3 linked regions of the Cricetulus griseus genome follow. The protein of the gene in region 2 interacts with the protein of the main gene of each other region in a pairwise test. Links are inferred from orthologs where the notes say so. Each region holds a gene or a part of one and is shown on either strand. Other genes may lie near its edges.

What was found.
Region 1: the proteins of Git1 (region 2) and CUNH8orf33 interact in a two-hybrid assay, tested with the Homo sapiens proteins (2 studies listed by BioGRID and IntAct). The link is inferred for Cricetulus griseus from reciprocal best matches to the Homo sapiens genes GIT1 and C8orf33.
Region 3: the proteins of Git1 (region 2) and Ppfia4 interact in a two-hybrid assay, tested with the Homo sapiens proteins (2 studies listed by BioGRID). The link is inferred for Cricetulus griseus from reciprocal best matches to the Homo sapiens genes GIT1 and PPFIA4.

Annotation. Positions count from the first base shown.
Region 1 is NC_048595.1:374,228,730-374,235,135, forward strand, and holds CUNH8orf33 (UPF0488 protein C8orf33 homolog), read left to right. Parts: upstream 1-1,844; 5' UTR 1,845-2,119; coding exon 2,120-2,125; intron 2,126-2,208; coding exon 2,209-2,499; intron 2,500-2,655; coding exon 2,656-2,740; intron 2,741-2,876; coding exon 2,877-3,023; coding exon of another isoform or gene 3,024-3,046; exon of another isoform or gene 3,047-3,069; intron 3,070-3,451; coding exon 3,452-3,591; 3' UTR 3,592-4,206; downstream 4,207-6,406.
Region 2 is NC_048600.1:90,907,298-90,913,239, reverse strand, and holds the end of Git1 (ARF GTPase-activating protein GIT1), read right to left. Parts: coding exon 5,885-5,942; intron 5,519-5,884; coding exon 5,407-5,518; intron 5,292-5,406; coding exon 5,158-5,291; intron 5,064-5,157; coding exon 4,911-5,063; intron 4,790-4,910; coding exon 4,559-4,789; intron 4,474-4,558; coding exon 4,420-4,473; intron 4,288-4,419; coding exon 4,201-4,287; intron 4,106-4,200; coding exon 4,032-4,105; intron 3,919-4,031; coding exon 3,736-3,918; intron 3,621-3,735; coding exon 3,557-3,620; intron 3,402-3,556; coding exon 3,189-3,401; 3' UTR 2,039-3,188; downstream 1-2,038. Other genes in the region: Tp53i13 (tumor protein p53-inducible protein 13), read left to right, coding at 159-287, 603-800, 895-1,417, 1,489-1,601. UniProt on the Homo sapiens protein: GTPase-activating protein for ADP ribosylation factor family members, including ARF1.
Region 3 is NC_048598.1:54,891,768-54,898,073, reverse strand, and holds part of Ppfia4 (liprin-alpha-4), read right to left. Parts: intron 5,518-6,306; coding exon 5,426-5,517; intron 3,526-5,425; coding exon 3,417-3,525; intron 2,300-3,416; coding exon 2,085-2,299; intron 850-2,084; coding exon 609-849; intron 244-608; coding exon 208-243; intron 10-207; coding exon 1-9. UniProt on the Homo sapiens protein: May regulate the disassembly of focal adhesions. May localize receptor-like tyrosine phosphatases type 2A at specific sites on the plasma membrane, possibly regulating their interaction with the extracellular environment and their association with substrates.

The sequences.
Region 1 (6,406 bases), on a different chromosome or scaffold from region 2:
ATGAGACGTGAGAACCAGAGATACATTAACCATAGAGTTTTATTCCAGTGGGGGAGGGGGAGAGCGGTAGAGAGAGGAAGGCAGGAAAGAGGTGAGAAAGAGAGCAAAGAGAAGAGGGCTTGAGAGTAGGAGAAGAGAGAGTAAGTGGCAGGGGTCTGTCTTTTAAAGGGTCCTTTACATCTGCGGGCAGACTTAGTTCCCATGGAACCCTGGGCTGACCAGGGTACTGCCTGAGTGGCTTCTGCCAGGTAACAGGGCCAGGCCAGCATAATGCCTGAACTTTTCAGGAGGAAGTGTGTCACTGTGAGGACAGTCTCTTTTGCTCAAGCTTCCCTCAGTGTGAGTCAGCCAACTTCCTGTTGCCTGAAAGACATAGCCTCTCAGTTCCAGTATCACAGCTGTCTGCACGCTGCCATGCTCCCTGTCATGATGATAATGGACTGAACCTCTGGAACTGTAAGCGAGCTACCTCAATTAAATGTTTTCTTTATAAGAGTTGCCATGGTCATGGTGTCTCTTCACAGCAATAAAAAACCCTAACTAAGACATAGTTATATATTAAAACATAAACGAAGTGGATCCCTTCTGAGGAATGATACCTGAGAATGACCTCAGTTCTACACACACACAAAGAGCTACTCACCCCAGAAAGGGAATCCATGACAGACCGAAGTTACGACTGCACCAACTTGGTGAACTAATGAGTTTTTGTTGGGGTTACTAACAGGAGTATGAGTGAAGGGTTACTTACAAGGAGCAGGGATGACTCAAAAACTACTGCGCCATTGGAAAATCCTACTGGGGGAAGTGAAGCCCTGGAGCTCTCTGGATAGCCTGTAGGCAGTTTCAAAGACTGAGAACCCTCTTCACATGGGGTTGTCACTCCTTTTTATACAGCTGGCAAGGACCTTTCTGTTTTCACAGACCTTTTGTTTTCCTCCAGAACCTCACAAACTTCCTCATTCCATCCCGTCAGGGATTCTGAGGAAAATACCATACAACAGTAATTATGGGGTGTTCCTCAAGATTTGAAAAGAAATGTACCAATAATTTGGTACTTGTAGAAGATAAGCTCACAGTGCTAAAAGGGACTAAGACAAGGTTTGTTCTGGAGCCATTTTGAGTGACCATGGCCCAGGAACACAGGTTTAGGTTGTCCTAAAATCCATGTTCTAAGGTGGAAACAGGTTTCACAAGGCTTTAGTTTTACAGAACAATGAAAGTCATAAATCAAGGCAAATTTACACTGGTGGATACACCAGAAAGTTACAATGAGATGGGGAAACATTTCTATAGGCCCAAGATGTTACTGAAGCTTTGGGGTTAGTGGAAGTTAGTGGTCTGCTAAGTAAACAGATTCTAAAAGGTCTTTTATCTATTATTCACAGCAAGATGTTAGTTCTGACAGAGATGGGCAAGGAGTAGCTGTTCTAGAAGTAGTCCAAGATAAGGTGATTAGCCACTAGACCTTCAGCATTCCAGTATCTCCATATTACTGTAGTACTGTAAATCAGTCTGCACACAAAGCTTCTTTGTTTTATTGGATTTATTTTTATTATTTTATGTATATGACTGTTTTGCGTGCATGTACGTCAGCGCATCACATTCGGGCCTGGTGCCCTTGGAGGTAGTAAGCCTCCATGTGGGTGCTGGGAATGGAACCCAGGTCCTATGTAACAAGAAGTGCTTTTAACCACTGAGCCAACACTCCAGCCCCTCCCCCTTTAATGTCTATTTTTTAGTACTTATGTTTTGTGTGTATGTGTGTACACCCACGCGCGCGTGCGCCCCGCCCCACCTCTGGGCTTTCTGCCCCGCCCCGCGGGGAGGGAGGGTTGTTCCATCCCTATCTCGCCGCGCATTCGTCTGGTTTCTCAGCGATGCACTCTGCTGGGTTCTCCGAAGCCTCCACGTTTGTTCCTGCGCTCTTTCTGTCCGGATCCTCTCAGAGTTGCAGGCCCAGATCCACGGAGTGCTCCCCGCCCCTCCCGGAGCGCTTGCCCCTGCTACTCCGCCTGCAGGGTCCGCGGCGCCTTCTGCGGAACTCCGGGCCATAGACGCATTTCCGGAGGACTGAGTTCACTGTTTTAGTCAGGACTTCCGGTCACCGCTACGGCGCATGGCGGTGAGCTTTGGAAGAAGGCGTTTGCGTGGCGAGGCCCTGGGTGTGGGGCCCCTGTGAATTTCCTCCTGTTCCACGTTTTTCAGGCGTTAGGGCGTCCTGCTCGGGAGGCACCAGCAGCCTCAAGCCGGAGAACTCAACGCGCTGCGCGCAGACCTCGGCTCCCCCGTCCTGCTTGCGGTGCCGCAGATCCGCCCCTTGTCAGTTTAGTGCAACCTGCTTGTGACTCTGCCACCAGAGCACATCCCACAGGCAACACTGTGTCGATGAAGCAAAAGAAGAAGAAAATCCCGAACAGGGTCTCTGGGACAAATGGAGACGGAAAGATCTCCGAGAAACCTGTCCTAGACGAAGCTCCCCCCAGTGCTGAAGCCCAGGTAAGGGTGGGATTCCCTGTGAGCTTTCTGGGTGCTAGCTAGTCCTCCTGAGAGTGTGGTCTAGTTGTGCGGAATTAAGGCACTGAAGGGATGGGACTGGCTGGGGTCTGCCGAGTCCTGATGCCTATGACAGCCATGACCTTCTTTCCACCCCAGGCGGAGCAACTGGCGAGGGAGCTGGCCTGGTGTGTGGAACAGCTAGAGCTGGGACTCAAGACGCAGAAACCCACCCCGAAGCAGAGTGAGAGCCCCTTCTTTATAGTTAGGGAAATGTAAATGGTGATAGTGCTGTAGCCTGATGGTATTGCCAGGGGATGGAATTGTTGCTTTTGTAGGGAGTATGTATGAAGTTACCAGCTCCTTATTTTTATCTGCAGAAGAGCAGGCTGTTGGGGCAATCCGAACCTTGCGCAGTGAAAAAACCCCCCTGCCCCGGAAGAGACAGCTGATGCGATCCTTGTTTGGGGACTACAGGGCTCAAATGGATGCCGAATGGCAGGAAGCCCTGAGGGCTCTAAGGACTGGTGAGGAACCGGGAAGTGATTGATTCAGTTTATGTACTTCAAAGAGGTAGGGAGAAGCTCAGCTCAGCAAGGTTGGTGCTGGAGGAAATGGGCACAGGGAAAACCCTAAGCAGGAAGAATGTATATACCTTTCTGGGCTCCTGGAATCAGGAGAACCCTGGTCCTCACCTTGTTCTGTTTTTGGGGTGGGAAAACCCAGCTCACCTGTCTAGGCCTTGGTTCACTCCACTGACCACAAAGCCAGGTACCATGGGTTCAAATCCTGGATCTGTTATTTAGATCTTAACAGTTTAGCTAGTTACTGGGTCTCTGAATCTCATCAGGGAATGACAATATCATCATTATAGGAACATTGTGGGGGCAATCATAACTGCATGGATATTGTTAACTGTTACTCAGTTCTGACTCTTCGCTCCACCTTCCTACAGCTACCCATTCAGCCCGAGTACAGCTTGTAGGAGAGACTGCCAGAAAGAAGAGTGGAAGGGTCTGTAGGCCTCGTCCAACAGGAAGAACCAAGGCCACTGTGGACTTTCCTGATGAAGAATTTCGGTTCAATTTCTTTTAGATTCTCCTACATTCTGGACTAGTCATCCTCCTCCAGGGTGGTGTGACCATTTGTCTTGAATATAGGGGTCTTTCTATGAACTCTTTTGGCAGAAGTAGGATTGCTTTGTCTCTAATTGGTTTGTGGACATGAAACTGCTGCCCCGGGTGAGACTGTCCTTGAACTTCTCAAGGAAATGTTCCTCCTGTCAGAAGAGAGGTGCTTTGGGAACTCCTCTGTGCTAAGCCTGAGTGTTGAGTGGATTGCAGGAATTGTGCTCCAGTCTCTGGGAATAACTGTTGGTGGTAAGGAACTGAAGAATCTGTGTACTTTTGAAAGGATCAACCTAATAAATATGTTTTTATTTTTTTAAAAAAATAGGTGATGAATGGAAGCTTGTGATGTCTATGGTGGATGGAGTTAGGTGGGGCAGGGACTGCCTTTACTTGGTACAGCTCTGATGTCAGGGTTTAGGTCTTTGTCCATGTTGTCTCTTTTTCTGAGGAGGTTGTCATCTTCAGAGAGCCAGTGTGGCCTCCATCAGGCCATCATTTGTTCTTGAGCTGCATGCTTTAACTTGAACTGTGTTTTAGCAGACTTGTGTCTTTTTTTAAAAAAAAACCTTTATTTATTTGTGTGAGTGTGTATGTGTGTGTATGAGCATGCTAGGCACATGTGTGTAGGTCAGAGGTTTAACCTCTCAAGGATTAATCTCAGCCTCTAGATTTGGTGGCAGTTGCCTTTACTCACTAAGCCATTTTGCCAGCCCACACACTGCCTCTTTATGGGTACTGAACCCTCTGCTATACTGAGTTGAGATTTTCAGGTGTTCACACCAATGTAATCTGGTGTTGCCCAAAGTCAAATCCCAGACTAGATATAATCTGGAGTCCAGCTGTATTCAACATTTTCTGTATGAATATTCTGTGAGCAGTTCAAACTCAGAATGTTGCAGAATACCTAATTAGGCCCTGGGTCTCCCTTTCCTTTTTAGTCAGTGATATTCACTGCCTTGTCTAGTTGGTTATTAGGCCAGAAACCTATGTCATTCTTGATTTCTCTCTTTTTCCAACACTATGTATTCAATACTTAGTGTTATCGTAGGTTTAGGAGACAGTATTAGTGTGTTAGGGTTTAGAGTTTGGGTTATGGTTGGAGGACTAGATGGGTTAAGGTGTTAAGGTTAGCTGAGGGTTAGGGGCTCTGGTCTGGTTCTGAGGTTAGGGTTATTGTGAATATTTATTTAAAAAAATATGTCCCTGTCTTTCCTCCTACTGGGTTGCCTCGTCCAGCCTTAATAAGAGAGGAGGTGCCTAGTCTATTACAACTTGATATTGTGGCTGGCTGATATACATGGGAGGCCTACCTTTTTCTGAAGAGAAATGGAAGAGAACTGGGGGTAAGGGAGAAGAGGGGAGACTGAGGGGAGGGACTAGAAGGAAAGGAGAAAGGGAAGGGATATGATTGGGCGGGAAAAAATTAATTTATTAAAAAACACTCATTAGTTTTTTGTTTGTTTATTTTTTTAGAGTTAGGGTTTCTCTGTATTGCCTTGGAACCTGTCCTGGAACTCGCACTGTAGACCAGGCCGGCCTCGAACTCACAGAGATCGCTTGCCTCTGCTTCCCGAGTGCTGGGATTAAAGGTGTGCACCACCACCACCACCACCACCACCACCACCACCACCACCCCTTGTTTTCTGAGACAGGGTTTCTCTGTGTAGACCAGGCTGGCCTCAAAAGAGAGCTGTCTGCCTGTCTCCCGAGTGCTGGGATTAAAGGCATGTGCCGCCACCACCACCTACCTGGCTATCATCTGTTCTTTTGTTCAGATACCATGGAGACCCCACTGGATGGACTCTTACTAGTCCACATTTACAAAGAGGGAGGCCAGTACAGAGGGAAATGGCCTCAATGCTCCTAAGTAAAGCTGTAATCAAGCAAGACCTTTGCTTCATTCTCAACTTGAAATTACTGATATAAAAGAATAAAAAGCCAGGCGGTGGTGGCCCATGCCTTTAATCCTAGCACTGGCAGGCAGATCTCTGTGAGTTTGAGGCCAGCCTGGTCTATAGAGCTAGTTCCAGGACAGCCAGAGCTGTTACAGACAGAAACCCTGTCTCCAAAAACAAAACAAAAACTACTCACCAAAGGCAACTTGGAGAGGAAAGAGTTTATTTGTCTTATATGTCCTGATCACTGTCCACCACTGAGAGAAGCCAAGTCAAGAACTGGAGGCTAGAACTCAAACTGGCCATGGTGGCAGTGGGCTGGGCATTCCACCTCAACCATTAATCAAGAAAATGTCCCCACAGACTTGCCTATAGGCAGATCTGGTGGAGGCATTTTTTTCCCATTGAAGTTACTTTTCCCCAGATAATCCTGGCTTGTGTTAAGTTGACAAACTAGCCAATAATTGACTCCTTGTCAGCTTGACACACAAGCATCAGTGCCAAATAACTTTTCCTCTTGTTTATCTCCAAGATCTCATGTTAATAACACAATGCATTAGAAGGCACCAAAATGAGTCAGATGTGTTGATGAAAATGAAGCAATTTCTTCTTGGATTAGCTTGACCAAGAGTGAGCCCAAATTTTAATTCTCCTCTTCTCTCCCTGTGTCTGTTATTACTGGCCTTGTCTGCATCATATGTCTGATCTGTCTGTCCCTATTGCCCATGCCTGGTCCTAACAAAGTGCTTTGTTCTGCCCACTCCCCACCCCCGGTTTCTTTGTGTAGCTCTGGCTGTCCTGGAACTCACAGAAATCTACCTGCCTCTAACCCCAGAGTGCTGGGATTAAAGGATGTGTGCCACCATGCTCTTCCGTATGTCTTGA
Region 2 (5,942 bases):
AAGGAGTGCACATCAGTACCCAGAGCCCTTCTCCTTTCCCACAAGTGGAAGGACACCTTCTGATAACCCCTTCCTTCATCCTGGTTCCCAGGATAGGAGGAATTAGGATTCTCTGGGAGGGAGCTGAGCCTCACTTGGTATCTCACCTTTTTCTTCAGCTTGATGGCGTTGCCTTCCTTTACCATCCATGTGCCCACCCCTGGCTGAAGCTCCAGCTTGCTCTCTTGGCCCATATGTGTGTGGCCAAGCCCACACTCATTCCTGACTCCAGTCTCACTTGGGACCGGGTAAGTGGTTCGTGAAAGGTGTGCCCAAAACAAAAAGAAAGCAAAAATGTAAGGGAAAAAAAAAAAGAAAAAAGCCCGGCTTGGTGGCTCACATCTTTAATCTCAGCACTCTGGAGGCAGAAGCAGGCAGATCTCTGAGTTCGAGGCCTGCTGGTCTATGTAGTTCCAGGACACAGTGTCCTGTCTCAGCATGCCCTCACCCCCCAACCACCCCCCAAAAAAAGTTGTTCTGCAGAAGGCTGCAGCCCCTTGGGCAGAGAAGGAAAACTCAGGGCTGCTTCCTTCATCTTAGACCTAAGTTACCTTCTTTCATAGCCCCTGGTGCTGACAGCATGGGGGACTGCACTGGAGATGGCATGGATAGAGCCAGCTTGGGCTGCTCACTGGTTGAAGAGGCGGCGGCGCCGGCAGCAGAGAAAGAGTGTGTGGATTCTCTCTGACACCCTTTCTGGGCCCACTCCCATGATGCCGGCCCCCAGCAGAGGGAAGCTGTGTGGGAGACGGTGTGTACAGGTGAGGTGAGGGGTGCTGAGCCCAGGTTTGGTGGTGGGAGCACTAGGTCAGAGCAGAGCAGGGCAGAAGGTGACTCTGCTTCTCTTCCCGTTAGGCTCCGACTCTGGCCTTTGCTCTGCGAAGCTGGCGGCCTCCTGGTGTAGAGGTGACATCTAGAGGCTCTCTCAGTGTTGTCAGGAGAAGAGGGCTCCGAGCTGCCCTTGGTCTCCAGTCTACTCCCTCAGGCCTGAGGGTTTCCTTGGCCTCTTCACAGAGCCCGAAGGCCCAGCAGCCCATTTTGGGAACCTCATCTGTGGCCCCTGACTCCTTGATGACTGGGGGACCTGGAGGCAATGATAGGTCCAGGACAGAGGCTCAGATGCCCAGTGGGCAAGACAATCCAGAGGGTTGTGCCTGCCTGGGCCAGGCTTCCCCAGCTCCTCGAGCAGCAGCGCCTCCCCGGGTGGCCCGAGGCCCAACTCCACGCACAGAAGAGGCCGCTTGGGCTGCCATGGCCTTGACCTTCCTGCTGGTCTTGCTCACCCTGGCCACGCTCTGCACGCGATTGCACCGGAACTTCCGCAGGAGTGAGAGCATCTACTGGGGGCCCACAGGAGACAGCCAAGACACGGTGGCAGGTGAGAAGACCCCCCCGCCGCCCAGTCCCCAGCTTCTTGAATTCTTGCCCTTATCTCTTGCCTTCCTGCAGCTGTGCTGAAACGGAGACTGCCCTTGCCCTCGCGCCGGATCAAGCGGTCTCGCAGACGGCCCCTGCTCCCGCCCACACCGGATAGCGGCCCTGAATCGGAGAGCTCGGACTGAGCGGCTCCGCCCCTCTGTGACTGCTGCCACGTGGGCCGTGCGCCGGCGCCCCCTGGCGGCAGACGGAGAGGCCCTGGAGGCTTCTTTTGGTTTGCGTATCCTTTTAGCCTCCCCGATGCAAATTCCTGTTTCTAATTAAATTATTTTAGTAGAATTCGGAGTAGGGTGAGTGTATCTGCCCTCGGGAGAGTTACAGAGTCAAGCTGGCTCCCGGGAAGCCAGCATTCCCTGGCTATTAGAATCACATCAGGTGCTGGTACTTCCCACTAAACACACATTCATGCCTTTCTTTATCCCTAATCAATGTAGCTCAGGACAGCCTGAAACTTGTTATCCTGCCTCAGCCTCCAAGGATTGCCGATGGGGTAATGTGACAATGGTAAGTGACACATAACTGTGCTAGGCTCAGCCCCCACCTCTAGACATCAGCAGCGGCACATGGTCACTTATTTATTTTTGATACAAATGTACATGACACACGTCTTGACAGCTACCCACCACCACAGGTAGGGCTGGGCCACCTAAGGGAAGGTGGTTGGGGAGAATAGCTGGTGGGTGCTGTCAATGCCTTGCCACCTTCCCAGCTGCAGCCAGATCCCCAGGCCTCCAGGGGGTGGGTCACTGTAGGTGCAGGTAGTGATGTGGGTGCTGGCCTTGCAGAGGTTAGGGAGAGGGGCTCAGTTCTACCGCCACCAGCTGAGTTGGGGGCCCTGGGGAGCCAGCCCCAGGCTCAGGAGCTCTGCACTCTGCCTGGCCAGCACACTTCCCATAGGGGATGGGGGAAGAGATGGAGGGAAGTGGTTTTTCTTGTGTTTGTAGTGAGGGGCACAAGTAGGAGCAGCAACTGGACCACAGCTGGTAACCCTGACAGTCCCCCTGTCCAGGTAGGGGAGAGGGACACTGACCCCCAATGCTGATTCCACGACTCTGGTCCTTGCCCCTCAGAGCTCCAGGTGGGCCAGGTCTCTGGAACGGCACTGCCGCTCACATTGCAGTTGCAGGCACGCAGGGACACTTAGTTACCACAAAGTTGGGGAGAAGAAAGACTTTCCAGTGTTTGCTGCTGGGGACCCTGGCACACACGTTGGGGCCTGTGCTCTAGGCAGGGGCCATTTGGCATGAAAGAGCAGCAAGAGGGGGCTGGTGGCTACAGGGCAGAGACATCCAGAGATAATGTACAAAGGAGGGGGATGCCCCTGCTCAGCCCCCCTAGGGCTAAACTGGCTCATGGGGATAGGGTGCAGTAGGCGGAGCTGCCCCATTTGGAGTGTCCCTGTCCCACTCTTTGCTGAGGGTGCCCTGGAAGGTGAGGGGCTGGGAGGGTTCCTTGAGACTCCTGTACATCAAAAGGGTAGGGATGCTATGTACAGGGTGATGGGCATGGAATGTGGGGGGGCAGAAGCTCCTGTCACCTCACATTCCCATTCTTGAGAGGGTGGGCACCAGGGCACCTGGATACCAGAGGAGAATGGCGGCACTAAGGGCACTTGTGCCAGTGGCTCTGTTGGGGGGTGGGTTAGTGTCTGGAGTGGCCCAGCTCCCATGGCCAGTGAGGTCCCAGGGTGTGGGTAAGGGCAGGGAAAGTGGTCACTGCTTCTTCTCTCGGGTGGTGATGGTGACCAGCTGCTTGGCTGCCTTGGCGATGTCATAGGCGCATTGGATCACCTGCTGAGTCAGCAGCTGGAAGTCCACAGGGGCGCCAGGCTCTGGAGGCACTGTCTTCCGGCATTCACTCTGCAGCCGGTAGGCGCTGGCATTAAGCAGCCGCAATGAATTGCGCACAGGCTCCAGGGCCGGCCTCTGGAGGGAGGGGTGAGGAAAGGCTGAGAGCCTTGGACTTTAAGCCAGGTGTCTGATTGTGGCTCAGGGTGCTCACCTCCACCCAGGCAGCAGCCAGGTCACTTGCACCTGCCCCACCCCAAGGTTCCCACTCTGCTTCTCTGTGGCGCCTGTACCTTTGGGAAGAGAGAGGCCATCTCAGTCACAGCCAAATGGATCTTTTCCGAACAGGGCACAAAGCTGTCAGAGGAGGGGAGGAGTTGGATGAGGGGTTTCTCAGAATCTTAGTCAGGATCCTAGCATGAACCCTCCATCCAAGTACCAAGAAGTTAACAGGAGCCTGTGCCCATCCTACCTGTCATGTTTGAACTCCTGGGCTGCCCGCAATAGTTCCTGAATGTTCTTGGTGACCTGCTCTGTCTTCAGAATGACATCCTCTGTGCTGGGGAGCCCAGGGTCTAGGTCTCCTTCCAGGCTCTCCAGCTCAGGGTGGAGCTCATCCTCCTTGCCCAGCTCTAGGAATCGCTTCCCTTCAAGTCTAGGTCCAGGTGGGAAGAGAAAAGGAGCCATTGCAGCCACCTGCATGGCGGGCTCCGCACCACCTCCCTCCAGGTGCTGGCGGGACTGGGTAGAGCCCCACAGGTGTCTCACCCAAGTGGAGGGTCCCCACTCTGTGTGTTCTCATAGTCACTGTCTGCACCACTGCCATGGCGTGAGAGCTTGCTCTGGAGGGTATAGGGAAAGACGGTGGGTGAGTAAACTCCCAAACCCCTGTGTAGCCCACATGCTGTCTGTCCCTGGGCACTGGGATGACAATTACCGTATGGCGACTTCCTTCTGGAGAGCACGACAGCAGTGGAGAGGAGGGAGTGAAGGGCACAGAAGAGGCAGACACCCCCTTCCGGATCTGAAAGCCAAAGCAGGGCTAGAGTCATTCTCCACCTGTAGTCCAGTGTCTGTCCTGGTCCAACTTGACAGCTACCAGGCGCTAGTGACTCACTGGTGCAGGGTTCACCCTCCTCCCCCAAGTCCTGCTTACCCGATAAAGGCCAGTAGGGACATGTACCGAATAAATGGCATCATCTTCCAGCTCCTGTGGGGGGTAGCACAGAGTATTATGACAAGCTGTGTTAGTGTGGCCCTTATTTTCCCACCCAAGACCCACAGGCCACTCTCACAGTGCTGTGGAAAGGCTGGAGCCGTGTGGTGAGCTCGTCCCCAGGTGCACCTCCAAAGGGCTTCAGGGCAGAGCCCGGCTCATACATGGAGAAGGCCTGGCGGTCCCTGCGATGGGTGCTTCCAGCGGGCCCCATGGGTACGTGTTCTGCCCGTTCATTGGGAAGTGGGGGTGTAGGTGTTGGCCCTGACGGCTGCCGAAGCTGCAGGTTCTCTGCCTGCAGTTTGTGGATCTGAGTGTACACAGTGGTATCCAACTCTGGGTCAGGGTAGGTACCACCTTTGGGAAGAGATGACCTCTCCTCCCAGAGCCTCTGATGCTTTCCTCCTGCTCCCGCAAGCAACAGTGCTCACCTCCCTCTGCAGCCTCCGGAGCTCATCACTCAGGCTGCTGTTGACCTGCATGAGCTGCTCCACTCTGGCCTCGGAGGTGGCCAGAGCTTTCTTCAGCTCCAGGTACTCCTGCAGTGTCACAGCCCCATCCGACAGGTCTGAGGAGTCCATGCTCTGCAGAGACAGAAGCCAGTCAGTCTCGGGCAGAGGCTGACTCTGGGCTATGTGTAACAGGGAGCTGGGTCTACAGCAGGGACAGTGTTCAGACCCTAGCACGGTTGTTCCGAGTGGCGCCTGTGCTGGGCAAGGGCTCCTGGTCTGTGTCTTCGTCAGAAGCCACACTATCGTAGTCGTGTTGGTCGTCCAGGTCACTTTGGCTCTGTGCAGACAGCTCGAGGTTGTCTGAAGACACAAGATCTGTCACTCAGGGCTTGCTCAGCCATTGTTTATCCAGATCCCAAGCAAAGGTGGCTCCAAGGCCTGCAGCAGTGCTGCGGCCTGCTCATGTGGGGCTCACCTGTGGGGCTGCTCAGGCTCTTGCCCTGCTGCCTCCGTTTGGCCTCACTGAGAATGTCGATGATCAAGGTGGCGAACTCGCGGGCATTAAACCGAGCCAACTTCTGTCGTCCCTGTAAGGCAGAAGGGGCAAGGCCAGCATGAGGGGCCATTTCTGGTTGGCCCATGGGGGCTGGACCACAGCAGCAAAGTGGGACCCTGACATCCTTTCTATTCATAGCTTTTAAAAAAACCAAAACCCCAAACCCAGCCATCATCTGGCTGGTGAGCAGTGTGGAGCCTCAGGTCAGCAAAGGCCTAAGGCACACAGGGAGCCCCCAGGAGGAGACTGGAATGCCCACCAGTGCTAAAGAATAGCTTCATCCCATTCCCCGAACCCCAAAGCCTGTCAGACCCTAAGGGGAGGCCTCAGATTAAGGAAGGGCAGGGATCCCAGAAAGAAAGGAAACCACCCAGGCCTCCTGCCTATACCCCCTCACCTGGTTCCGAGTAGCTGAGTATTCTGGGTTGACTGGCAGGAAGGGCACAGCGCTGCGC
Region 3 (6,306 bases), on a different chromosome or scaffold from region 2:
CACTGGCGACTGAACAGACAGTGGGTTGTCAGGGGGTAGAGGGAGAGAGCTGGGGCCTGCCTACCCAGCCCAGACAGTGCGCACGCAGCAGAGAGGCCCTGTGGCTGCTCAAGGTCAACTCAGACCCCAGGGCTGGGGGCAGCAGCCCAGAGGGGAGGGCCTGGGAGCCGGTAACCCGCTAGTACCTGGATGCCAGGAAGCACTCACCAGCAGCTTCCTCCTATGTTTTCTGAGGTCGCTGGGCTGAAAAAGAGAAAGAGGAAAGGGCGAGCCTGCTTAGGGTGACAGCAGAGGAGTCAGGGACTCATACCAGCCTGGGAAATGTACCACAGCAAACGGAGAACCTGGAAAGATAAATCATGGCTCCCTATGAAGAAGAGAGAGCAGCTGGACAATGGGCATGGCTCTAACCGTCTGTGATCATCCAAGGGAGGGAGCAGGGAAGAAGTTACAAACCCTTTCCTACCCAGAAAGGCATGCTGGTGACCTAGTATGTTGTGTCATTGGAAAAGGATGCCAGAGGGATGGAGAGAGATCAGGCCTCCCGTGTAAACTCCCCAGCACAGGCCTGGGGTTCACAGGGCCTCTCAACCAGTGCACAGACTCACCAGGGTCATGACCCCCATTCGGTCCAGATCCTGGGCAGCACTCCGAGAAGTGAGCTTGGGTGTGGAGCGGCCACTGAGTGGAGGAGATGCACTGGCCAGGGACAGGGCAGTCAGAGAGGTGGGGATAGAGCCGCGCTTGCGCAGCTGTGTCAGGTTGAGGGCCTCCATGCTGCCACTGGTCACACGGGTCTCAATTTCCTCAGCACGAAGCTCAGTGGACTCTTTCTCCTCCTGGATCATCCTGCAGGGCAGCAAACCAGACCTGGCCATTAGCCCAGGAGGCGGTGCTGGGTGCTGCCGCCCTTGTACCAAAGGTGGGCACTACCTACAGGCACAACCTTCCAGCTGAACAAACGCCATTTCTGGGAAGGAGGCACTGTGCCAATGAACTATAAGCCATCTCAGTAGGAATCCCTGGCCTGCACTAGCTACAGCAGTGACCTTGAGCAGGTGCTTTGCTCTCTTGTATCTCAGTTTCTCTACAGACACCATTATTGGGCTTTATCTTTGTCAGGGATGACCAAACAGAGCTTCTCTCTCTCTCTCTGTCTCTCTGTCTCTCTCTCTCTCTCTCTCTCTCTCTCTTTCACTGATGCCATCCCCTAATGAGGTTTCTTCTGTTCCACTGAGAATGAGAAACACGGGGAGATGGTGTGTTGTGCCTGGGGGCACTCAGAGAGAGGTGTGCACACACATTCACACACACTGGTAGAAAGATGGTGACTACGCTTCAAAGAGAAGGACGTGTCCTCACGCTGAGAGGACACCTTTCCCACTCTGGAGCTGTTTAAATGCCCTTTCTTTGAGGGGGGGGAAAGATGGTTGTGACAATGAATGGCAGCTGTCCCTACAGTTTTACTCGACAGAGTTGAACGCAGGGGGTCTTGCATTGACATGGGTATCTTGATGCTGACTTCTCAAATTTGAAAGCCTGACCTCATCAGCCTGTCAACTTTACCTCCCTGCATGACAGTGACATAAATAAGCTCACTAAAAAGGCAGGATAAGGTCAGGGTTTTGACAGCTTTCCCTGTCTCTGTTTCTATCTGATGTCTCCTTAGAGATGAAAGGCATGGCACTGGGGAGTTTCTGCCTGAGACTGGATCCTGGTTCATCTACTTAACATGTGGCTTTGAAACAAGTCACTCAACCCCTCTCAGCTGACCGTAACACTGACGAAGCTCCCACCCTTAGCTGGCTTTGTCACAGTCAAACTGATTACCAGGAGCACAAGACAGCTCCGTCTTCCTGAGCCCAGCCACTCCTGGCCTGGAGAGAAGAGATGTCACCTAGAGTCATCTGTAGCCCTGCCCCTCCGGGGTCACTATTAGTCCAAACCCTTGCTTGATGCCACAAAGCATCCCTGGACTGTGGTCCTAAGCTGTAAGGTGGGATGGGAGCCAATACTTACACTGTGTGCCCCAAAACAAAGGGCCCATCCTCCCAGGCACTTTGCAAGCCTCACCCTTACCCCACCTGATCTCCTGGTTGATGGCATCCAGCTGCTCCTGCAGCATCATGGCCAGGGTCTGGGCGTCAGAGTGGCCACCAGGTGAGATGACATCAACTTGAGTGCCCACCAAGCCCCCAGGCTCATCCTCATCCACATCAGAGATCTCAGGGTCACTGTCAAAGGCAGCGGTGGTGGTGGTGGCGGCCAACACCCCCGACAGTGGTGATGGCTTCCAGTCCTTAGCAAACAAAAGGAGCAGCAGTAAGATCCCTGGATAGCTGGGCAGTAGGAACCTGCCTACCTTCATCCCATGGCATCAGTATCTCTGGAAGCCATGAGAAAATGTGGGCTGCTGAAAAATGGGCCAGAAGGGCTCTAACACACTCACTCTGACCCAAGGCCTCAGTGCCCCCCCCCCCCAGCTATGTTAGATGCTGTCGCCTTTGCACGGAGCTCCTGGGTGTTGCTGTGTTCTTGTGAACAGCAGAGTAAAGTCGGGAGAGGTAGAAAAGAAGAGGCCTTCAGACTGTGATCAGATTGCCTACCTCCCTAATGCCTCTCTGCTTCCCTACATGCCTCTATACACGCCTCCCTACATGTCTACATGAACCCGCTACATGCCTGCTTGCTTGCTTTTTCTTTTATTCTCCCTTCCTTCCTTCCTTCCATCCATCCTTCCTTCCTTCCTTCCTTTTCAATGGGAACTTGCCATGTTGCTCCAAATGGCTCACAGTCCTCCTGCCTCAGCCTTCTACCTACACATCAAACTTAGAGGTGAACATAAATCTTCCCCCATCAGACTAGGTGTCCCCCCCCTCCTCCATCCACAGCTTCTAGAGCCCCAGAACATATGAGGGTTAACTACTGGAGGGCAGTGGCTTTCTTCTCACTGCCCACCCATCTCCCTGGGGCAACTCAGAAACTGGCAGCTGCTTCTCAGGTGCCATTCCCCAGGGCCAGTTAATCTGTCATCTCTCCCTCCTCTCCACTATAAGCTATGATCTTGTTCCAGGAAGCTTGTTAATTCCATTTTACCACTGCAACCCCCTCTTAGACACCAGAAATGAATGGTGCACACCCAGGCACACGCACACATGCTGTAGTGGGGCCTCAGGGACCACTGGCCCTCTTCCACCCCTACCTCTTGCCCACCAGGAGGCTGAGGCAAGGGGGGGTGACAGCTGTTGCAGCTGACAAGAGCCCCAACTCCAAGGCTGCAGCTGTCATTGACAAGGGAGAAGGTTGGGCAAGGCTTTGCACCACACGCCAGTCGTCTGTGTAACTGGAGCCAGACACACGGCCAAACTAACCCCAAATTCCCCAGGGAGACCCACACACATCCCTCTACCCCTTACCTTGGCAGAATCTTCCCTCAGTACTGTATAGCGCTGATGCAGACCTGGGGGTGCGTGTGTGGCTGTACTCAGAGAGAACCGCACATCTGATGCGCTGCCCACGTGTGACCTTGAGTGGCAGGAGGGAAAAGATAAGCTCTGAAGACTGATGGCCCCAACTTACACTTAGAGGGCCCAACGACTGGGGAATGGCCAGTTTGGAGAGAAGCGATCTGGGACACAGCTGTCCCAAACATCAGAAGAGCTGCCATGGAGGCACAAGGCTCTACTTATGCTCTGGGGCTGTGGGGCCAAATTGACCAGGGGAAAAGCTGTAGGGAGAAGTGGTCCATTTTGCATAAGTAGGATCTTCTCCTGACAAGGAGATTAGGATGCTTTCAAAAAGTTGAGCTCCCTGTCAGAGTGACATTCAAGTGGAGGACCTCAGGCTTTTGACAGCAGCCACACAGGAGGGCTCTTGGCCTGGGGGGAAGGAGGGGGGAGGGGCGGAGAAGAGGAATCCAAAGAGATGAGCTCTAAGGGCCTTTAACTCTGGAGGTTTTTGCTTCTTGGTCTTCGCACTAGCAACTCTCTCCAGGTTTCCTGATAATCTGAACTGAACACCTGGCTAAAATTCAACCCAGATGTGTCATCCGCATCCCCAGGAAGATTTGGAGAACCTTGAAGCTACATCACAGGTACAGGCTAGAGAATCCATTTTGGCTGCCCCACTTGTAAAATACAGACACAAGAGTTTAGGGTCCCAGGAACAGTGTCTGGGTTATCTAGAAGCCTCCTCTGTGACACTTCCACTCTGTCTTCTCAGCTCAGAAGCCTTGATGGAGCCCAGTACAGAGAAGCAACAGAGCCTACAATCTATGCCATGTACCTGGAAAGAGGGAGTGCCTAGCCAGCTCCCCCACCTCAGTTCTGGGAAAAGTCTAGTGATTCTACAGGCAAAGCCAAGAATTCCCAGTCAGCAAGGAAACCAAGCAGTAGCAAAGGGCTTGGTGTGCTCATTCGCTGAGAGCTTGTTCCATTTGGACAATCAACAGGAAAGGAGAAATTGTAACTATCCCAACTCCCTTCTCTGCATCCCCCTCCTTACACAAGAGCAGAATTCTTGGCAAACTTACATGGCTACCACCTCAGAGGCCTCCAGAGGCCTCTCACCTCCAACCCAACGTCCTTTTCCCTCACTGAAACACTCTGCCCATCCACACATGCGTGTATATTCCCTTAACCACCTTCCTAATGGCTAATGCCCACTTCCCTGAGGCATCAAGAGCGCTGACTGAAGGGAACAGCATGTCTAAGAGACTCTGATTTACAGAGACAGCCAGGAGCCAAGAACATTTAGCAGTAGCATCCAGTCATCTTGCTCCTCATGCTCCCTTGCTGAGCTGAGAAGTGAGTTCAATGCCAACTGCTTCACAAAGTACAGCTGCAAGCCCCACTCACCATGCCTTACAACGTTTTCAGGTAAAGGGATGCCACGGCCACAGGAGTAACACAGCGCCTCAACTTCCAACAGGAAAGAGAATTTGCTGCCCCAATTTACTGTCCCAATTTATTCTCCCTGATGTCTCTCTGTCCACTGTCTCCTACTTGAATGTGGGTGGCCTTCTGCTCTCAAACAGCAATCCTAAAAATGGTGCCTCAAAAGAACTACAATGAGTGGTGAACTCTACAGAAGGCCCTGTGGGATAGGGGAGAGCAAGTAACTCAGCGGACCCTTCAAGGGTGGGCGTGCGTGTGTCCTCTGGCAAGGAGCCAGGAAGCATAGCCTACTCCCAGAGCAGAGGAGAACCTTTGATTCCTTGCCTTTCAGCGCCCCCTAGAGGACATGTGCTCCCTTCCTAAGTGCCACATGAGCTGAAGGACTAGCCAAGCGCTCTGAGCCCCTGTTTCCCATCCTGAATAGAAGGAAGGCCCTGAGGTCCTGGGCAGTGTTTTGGTGAGGGGATATCCTTTCACAAGGTCCAGCCAAGACCATCGCCCAGCATGCACCGCATCCCCCGCTCTAGTACCTGGAGTGGATGCCATCCACAAACGGCCCCCCTCGACCCTTCAGCTGATCCACCTCTTGGCGCAGCTTCTCAATCTCTTCAGACAGGCGGCCCTGTGCCAGGCAGACCCAGGGTGGGATGGGACCAGGGAAGGGCAGAGAGGGAAGAGTGGAAGTCAGAGAGGGGAACAGAGGACAACAGAGTTGGGGACAGTAGAAGAATGTGCTGCAAAGTCCAAAGCCAAGGGCCACAGATGACACCAAAGAAAAGAGGTGTGACTGGAAAATGAGCAGAAGACTGGTAGAGGGGCCAGGCCAGAAGTGGACACTGCCCTGAGAAGAGTTCTACAGCCAGCTGACCCCTTAACACCACACAAGTGCAAGGCAAATGAAGCCAGGCTGCAGAGTAGACCAGGCTTTTGTGCCACACACCGCTAAGGACAGTGGCTGCCATTCCCAGCATGTAGGACCCTTTCCTTACAGACACCAGATCCTTCACTGGGCCCAGAGTCTGAGCCAACACTATGGCCTAGATCCATGGCCTCCATTTCTCTAGCCTCTGTATGGATAAAGTGTATGTATGGTCTGTAGCTACTGTGTTGGGCAACAGTGGAGGGCGGTGGCAAATGTGTGCTATGAGCTAAGAGAAGCCAGCATAGAGCAGCTGCGTGACCACCAGGCACTGTGCCTGGGGCCCTCCCATGCACGCGGGCAGGGCTGGCCAGCAGCTGAGTACCTTGTGGTAGTGCAGCTCTTCTATGTCATGCTGAGAGCTCTCCAACTCCTGGACCAACGTGTTCTGAAGGTGAGCAGCTGCGAGCCAGGGACCCTGACTGGCCAGGAACGCTCCTGTTTCCTCAGTTGTGACCCAGGTGGCCTTTCACCCTGTGCCGTTATCTACCC